Cricetulus griseus: one gene and its partner. The protein of the gene in region 1 interacts with the protein of each later gene in a pairwise test. Links are inferred from orthologs where the notes say so. Each region holds a gene or a part of one and is shown in the gene's direction. Other genes may lie near its edges. The genes, in order: Rbbp8 and Lims1.

Region 1 (3,824 bases):
GAGAGGGAGAAGGGATTGACATGTGAAGGAAGCTTTTTCCTAATTTGAACTAATAAAAAAAAAAAAAGAATCTTTTATAAAACAAGTACTCTCAAAGACCTTATTATACTACTTTATGGTCGTTAATATTAACGTGTAAGTTCATGGGCTTCATAGAAGGCCAAAGTTTGCCTGCTGCTAAGCCAATGTCTTTTTTATAGATGGAGACATAACAATAAATGATAGCTTGGAAGAAATGTTTGATCGGACAACACATGAAGAATATGAATCTTGTTTGGCAGATAGCTTCCCCCAGGTACCAAATGAAGAATTGTCTGCTGCCACAAAGAAACCAAACAGTAAGTCTGTTTTCTCTTTAATTATATCTTTTCCATTATACTGGTTTCACTAAGTTACCAAGCTAATTAGTAGAGGATTGATTACAACTATTAAAAGTTCCATGTTTCTTATTTTGGTTTTTCGAGACAGGGTTTCTCTGTGGCTTTGGAGGCTGTCTTGGAACTAGCTCTTGCAGACCAGGCTGGTCTCGAACTCACAAGAGATCCATCTGCCTCTGCCTCCCAACTCACAGAGATCCATCTGCCTCTGCCTCCCGAGTGCTAGGATTAAAGGCGTGCGCCACCAACGCCCGGCTTAAAAGTTTCATGTTTCTTATGTTAATTTCTTTTCCAGATATTTTTTAAAACTTTATGTGTATGAGTGTTTTGCCTATGTGTATGTGTCTGTGCACCACATATGTACCTTGTGCCCATAGATGCCAGATGATAGCATTGGATCACCCAGAACTGGAATTACAGAAGGGCCTCTGGAAGAATAGCCAGTGCTCTCAACAACTTGAGCCATCTCTCTCTGTTACTTTCTTTTACTTGAAATAACTTCCACTTAAGGAAATATTTCAAAGAAGAAGTTGAGTGTATACCTTCCACTGAGCACATCTTTATGCAAACATTTTACACAACTGAAGTATTAGAACTAAGAAATTAATCTTGGTTCTATAATTTTCTTTACATACATACATACATATATATCAACTTTATATTTATATATGTAAATATATAAAGAAGTATGTGTATATTAAAAATGTGAGAAAGTTTAATCTTATAATTATTAATTTTTTCAATACTAGTAATACAATAGAAAAGATTCACAGAAAGTTTAGATCTGTTTTCTGCTGTGTGTAGCATGAATTCTCTTTGGTCTTAATAATAAAAACTTAAGAGTTAACTATTGGGGGTGAAAGCTGAAGGATCAGAGAACCAGAGTGCCAGCCACTAGAGTTCTTATTCTACCAAGGCTCAGACCAAACAGACGATGCTGTCCCTACAAATCCTCAGACTGAATCCTCAGACTGCTCTGAGCTCATGTCTCCTTCCTCCTTATATTCCTGTCTTTGCCTGGCCATATCATTCCCAGCTCTACCTCCCTAGTGTTGATATTAAAGGCTTGCCATCCCAAGTGTTGGGATCAAAGATGTGAGCTCTGTTTCTCTTTTAGACTGATTCAATCTTGTGTAGCCCATGGTGGCCTTGAACTCCTGATCTTCTTGCTTCCTCCTTCCAAGTGCTGGGATTAAAGATGTGTGCCATCACTGCCTAGGCCTCTATGGCTAATTAGTGGCTTAGTTCCACACTCTGATCTTCAGGCAAGCTTTATTTGTCAATAGCATAAACAAAATATCACCACAGCTGTGAGTACTTTATCTTCTCAGAGGAAATATCTAATATACTTAGTGTTCTAAAGGTAGTGTGATAGTAAAGGGTATTCCATCTACTTGGAACTCTTAAGAAGATAATTGCAATTTCAAGTTAAAATTTTTGCTAAGTATCACATGTTACATTTAAACACTGGCCATCTCAAAACTTCTCGTTTCTTTTTTGACTATTTGGTTTCTAGACTTCTATATAGTAGAATATTTCTAAGGCTCTTCCTTCCTCATAGCATTTTTGCTCAAGGCTTTTATATTCATTACTGAAAATTAGTTCAAATCTGAATTTCTATGTTTGACTTCTAATGAATCCCAGACCTGCATTTGTAAGTAATTGTTAGATGCCTTTGTGACTCATCAACTTAAACTGTTAATGTCTAAGCCACGTTCCATGTATTTCCCAACAGATAATTTATTTTTTTCAACCACTGGCATAAATATTAGAGCTTAACTTTTCATTTTCACAACTCTTATACTAAAGTTCTGACTGATTTTCCTTCATAGGAAAAAGTAAGTTTGGAGAACAATATCAAAAACTCATTCTGACAGATTTTTATTTGCTAAACATTCAAATGGATCTATTAGTAAGCAATTAGTGCATGTAGACTTTGAGCAAGAAATCCAGAGTAAAAAGATAATTTGAGGACAGGAAATTAACAGAAAGTAGACATTCCATAAAGCCATGACACTGGAAAAGCATCCTAGGTTTCTGACCTCTGGGATATAGCAAATTATGGTCTGTCTGTGAGTCTTGCTTTTTAATGAATGACTGAGTCATCTTTTCAGCCCAAGGGATATAGCAACTTAAAGAGAACAGAGGTGTGACCCAGTTAAATGGCTCATGGGTAAAGGCCTATTGCCAAACCTGACTACTGAGTTCAATCCTTGGGATCTACGTAGTAGAGGGAGAGAACCAAGTCCCAGGCTTTGTTCTCTGACCTCCACAGTCATTGTGGAAGCACAAACATTTTGCACATTAAATGAATAAATAAAATAAAAAAATACAGAAGGAGGAGAGGGAGAGAACGAAACATTAACAGAAGCAGCAAAGGAAACAGATGGTGCTCAGGACATGAGGTAGGAAAGAAATTGTTTTTGCTGTTCTGGAAGCTAAGGGAAAATGTTTTGTGTATTCATTGTGCTCCTTTCCCTAGACTCCTCTATGTCACCCATTCAGTATCTAGACAATCAATAGAGTTTTGTTTTTCTTTTGTTTTGTGTTTTGGTTTCTCAAGACAGGGTTTCTCTGTGTAGCTCTGGTTGTCCTAGAACTCACTCTGTAGATCAGACTGATTTCCACCTGCCTCTTGTTTCCCAAGTGTTGGGATTAAAGGCATTCACTACCAACTGCCCAGTATATTTTTGTTTTTCTACCCCAGTTTTTTATGTTCTCCTGCCACTCCAGGTTTCATTGTTTGCCAAATACCTACCCATCTACCCAGTGGCTAAAAGTAGAAACGTATGAATCAGCTTTTACATAATGCTGTGGTCCATAAGATCATACAGTGAGATTTTAGTCAATAAACTCACCAGGCTACCCCTTGGAATTCCACGGGAGAAAAATCCCCACTTGTAAAGCCTTGGGGATACTTGCCTTTTGAATAGTCACTGTCATCCCTGTGAAGCCCTTATGAAACCATAGCATCCCTCCTTTGGGATTCCCCCCCCCAAAAAAAAAACTCCAGCAATGTATTCATCAATTATTGGGCACAACTCCCTCTTGTACTGGTAAACTGGATAACCTCTAACACTGTGGGGCCCTGGTGTGAATTATTCACACAGTCAAGGAAACCTTTTGTTCTCATAGTCAAATGTACATAACTTAGAAGCTATCTCCCTACAATTAATTATCTCTTATGACAGGACGCATGACAAGGAGAGAAGCCTTGAAAATAGACCATATTCAGAGCTTCAAAGACAACCACTGAGTAGGAGACACAAATGTCTGTCCCCACTGACAAGCAGGACTGGGTGACACTGATTCTTCTAACAGCCCACTCAGGAGAGTGCAGCCTACTGGCCCCTGTTCTATCTTAAGAAGCTGTCAATATTTCATACTCACCTCCACCTCAATTTTACCGATACAAGCTCTTACTATAAGAAACTGTTTGTGCCTTTA
Region 2 (3,824 bases), on another chromosome or scaffold:
AGTATTTACGTGAAATTCTCACCTGATTCTTTGCCTTTCATACTGCCTTTCATCTGAAGCACCAGTGGTTAGAGAAATTATTCATTTGATTACATCCTGTGTTTTGAGGTGTAGTGGTATTGCTCATGAGGGAACTGTCAAGAGTCACTCAATGCTAGCTACTGTCTGGCTTCATTTTCCTGACCTGCAAAACATGATTGCATACCTACCAGGAACTCTGCAGAGTTTGCAATAAGGATCTGATCTGTGATGGATATGGTTCCCTGTAAGCAGAGAGCCTAGATTCTACGCCTGTGTCACTCATAATCTAAGAAGCTAGTTCAATGGTATTGAATTCATCATCCACCTCTGAACCTATCCCTTTATCTGGAAAAATCATCTTTATAACATAAAATTCTGTGATTTTAAGATACATTTTATAATGCTAGTATTCAGTGTTTTCTTATGTACTGTTTAATAGGACTGAGGCAGCTTGTATAGTTTTCAGAGGTTTTAAGCAGTTGCTTTCAACCGCATCCGGCCAAAGGTATAATTTAAATTGAGGCTATAATATGATATTTAGTTGAATGAAGTTTAGATTTTGTTCTTCAAAAAGAAAGAAACTGACTGACTTTAAGATGTTATCTCACAGAGGGAAGGAGCTAAGAAGCTGTTAGCAATTGATGGTGCCTAGGGGAGGAAGAATCAGTTTTCTTTTGCATTGTGGCTCATTGCAGGTTGCCCTGCTCCAGTGGTTGGTGCTCTACGTTCATGCACGTGTGGCAGCACTGATTGGACTTAGTGTGTTACGAGGAGAGGTGGAGTCATGAAGTTGGGAGGGTGATTATGGAATGGAGAGTCCGGGGGGAGCTGGAGGAGGGGTGCAATATCATCTAAATATTGTATCCATAGCAAAGACATTTTTATTTTAAGTCATTAACATGGACATTTTAATTAAAGTTACTTATCCAGCTATAAGCCTGAGTCCTTGTGGGGAACAATTACTCGTGGATTATTTATTTGAGACAGAGTCATACTGTGGCTCTATGGCCTAGGCTGTTAATGAACTTGTGGGTGCAAGCAACCTTTCTGCCTCTGCCTCCTTAAAGGCTGGAACTACAGGTGTATCCCACTGCATCAGCTAAAGGAACTCTTGGCTTGGATTTGTGTTCTTATTATCTATCATTGTTTACAAAAATGCTAAAAAGGCTAAAGTCAAGCAGAAGCAAAGCAGGGGAAACCCAAGGGCTTTGTTAATGAGACTGCCATTTTAAGTTACAGTATTTGTGAAACCTGATAAAATATGACTTTTTATGTCCAGGTAGAATTTGCTCCTCAGTTCTTGATGTCATCTGGTCTTAAGCCTAATTACAAGTTAGCAATCTGTATCTTGTCCTTTGTGTGTTTTAGCAACATGGCCAATGCCTTGGCCAGCGCTACATGTGAGCGCTGCAAGGGGGGCTTTGCACCTGCGGAGAAGATTGTGAACAGTAATGGTGAGCTGTACCATGAGCAGTGCTTCGTGTGTGCTCAGTGCTTCCAGCAGTTCCCAGAAGGACTCTTCTATGAGGTGGGTCAACTGAGCTACCCTTCTCTTTCAAATTCATTTCCAAAGATTGAATTGAAGTGCCAGGTATTTAGTACCTGGAAGGTCAATGATGAAGTGCATGTGGGACATGGAGGTCACAATCTAAAAAGATCTTGTGCATACCTACCTATATTCATGCCCATCATTCACCTTATTCCAGAATCTACAGTGTCTTGTGACTGTGTCAGACTGAATACTTCTACTCCAAGTACAGAATCCTTTTACAAGGCTTGCAGCAGAAGCATCTCTGGCCTCCCTCAGTGCTTGCCCTACATGGAATCTTCCCATCCCAATCCTGTGTCTTCCTTTATCAGGATATCATTGGACATCCTCCTGAAAGGGAACCTGTGTCACCTACTTCCTGATCTTCAAGCCATACTCTGGAGATTTTAATGCATTTTCTAAAGAGGATCTTGTTTGGAATTGAATATTGCAGGACCCACACTGTGTGCCTTGAGATATTTCTAAACACTTGTTTTTCTCAGTGTCATCAAATGGTCTGTGTTTCCACCATTATTGAAACCCTTTTATCACAGTAAACATGTACTGTGGAGATGGCCTAGGGAGGCTCACCCCCCCTCCCCCGTGTCATGAGTGAAAATGAGAGTGACAACTTTGGCATTTTTTTTTTTTTTGCTACCACACCACTTAGCATATTTGCAAATGTGTGTTTTTGTATGACAATATATAGAATTATGATACAGCTAAAATGTCTGTTCTTTGATTTCTTTTTTAGTTACCATTATTTTTATGTGTATGTGTGTTTTGCCTGCATATATATGTCTGTTTACTTTGTGCATGCCTGGTACCCTTGGAAACCAGAAGAGGTTGTGAGATCCATTGGACCTTTATTTAAAGAATGTTGTGTGCTGCTATGTGGTTATAGAAATTGAACCCAGGTCATCTGCAGGAGCAGCCAGTGTTCTTAACTGCTGAGCCATCCTCCAGCCCCTTTGATTTTTTTCTATCCCTTTTCTCCTACCAAACTTAGATTTTCCTGTCTCCATGATTGAGGAAGGAAAGGTAGTTTATAATGGTCATTACTAAACTAATTATTACACTGAGACATTTTCCTACGCCTCTGGGGAATGAAATTTGCAGGTCAGCCTGGAAAACATCATCTGTCTCCACAGATGCTTAAAAAACCAAACTTCCATTTATGAATTGTCTGTATGTAACTCAAGGAAATAGCATTTAACATATAGTCACAGAATAAAATTTTATTCTTTTTGTCAGGAATGATGGTCTTAGGACTGGGAAGGACAGGAACAGGAGAGGTCAGGGTCCAACTGCAGGAGAAGAGAAGTTGGAGGTAGTTCCCAGGATTTATGGATGGTGGTGGGCGGGCCAAACCTCTGCTGAGTCTGAATGGCTGTGATTGGTACAAAGAAGCACAAGTTGGGCCCCTAGTGGCTGTAACAGCACGGGAGGGAGGGTTGCTCTTAGAACTGCTGTGACTCAATTTAGAAAACTCTAAAGTTGACAAAAGGATCTGAAATCGAAAACTCAACCAGATAATACTGTTGTGATTTTAAGATCTTTATGATGAATTAGGGAAGACATAAGGTAAATATGAAGCTTTTATTACTCATGCCTAGAAGTCAGTACACATAGGTTAGGAAAGTATAGGCAGAGGTAGAGACAGGATCCATGGGTCAAAGCTCCATTGGGTATCAGCATACAAAAGGTCTCCTGTGAAGAGTTGTCACTAGTAGGTTTAAAGCAAGCAGACACAATTTAGGTGACTGTGCTGTGACGTCTGGATCAGTACATTCCATGCTGGGTGTGGGAGTCAGCCCAGCCACACAGTCTGTGTCTAGCTGACCACAAGTAGGAGGTTGTCAGGGACAGTGATGTATGACAGACATCTGGATTGGTAACACTGTGGAGCTGGGAGGCACAAAACTGGAGACAGTTAGGGGGACTGAACCCTACCTCTGGTATGAGAAAGTATAACTTCTGTTCACAGTGGATGTCAAAACAACATGTCATCATAGACATCCATGACAAGTCCCACAGCATACAAAGAGGTCCCAGAAATAATGCGGGATGGCTTAGTCAATAAAGTGCTTACTGTGCAAGCATGAGGACCTGAGTTTGGATCTCCAGCGCTTGTGTAAAAAACCTGGTAGTGGCATATGTCTATAATACCATAGCTAAGGAGGCAGAAACAGGAAGACCCACCTGGGACTTGCTGCCTAGACTCCAGCTGAAATCAGTGAGGTTAAGATTGATGGAGCACCTATCTCCAAAAATA

Evidence for each region.
Region 2: the proteins of Rbbp8 (region 1) and Lims1 interact in a two-hybrid assay, tested with the Homo sapiens proteins (2 studies listed by BioGRID and IntAct). The two-hybrid records come from large-scale screens. The link is inferred for Cricetulus griseus from reciprocal best matches to the Homo sapiens genes RBBP8 and LIMS1.

Annotation. Positions count from the first base shown.
Region 1 is NC_048595.1:224,638,580-224,642,403, reverse strand, and holds part of Rbbp8 (DNA endonuclease RBBP8), read left to right. Parts: intron 1-200; coding exon 201-338; intron 339-3,824. UniProt on the Homo sapiens protein: Endonuclease that cooperates with the MRE11-RAD50-NBN (MRN) complex in DNA-end resection, the first step of double-strand break (DSB) repair through the homologous recombination (HR) pathway.
Region 2 is NW_023276807.1:2,689,295-2,693,118, reverse strand, and holds part of Lims1 (LIM and senescent cell antigen-like-containing domain protein 1), read left to right. Parts: intron 1-1,389; coding exon 1,390-1,549; intron 1,550-3,824. UniProt on the Homo sapiens protein: Within the IPP (ILK-PINCH-PARVIN) complex, binds to F-actin, promoting F-actin bundling, a process required to generate force for actin cytoskeleton reorganization and subsequent dynamic cell adhesion events such as cell spreading and migration.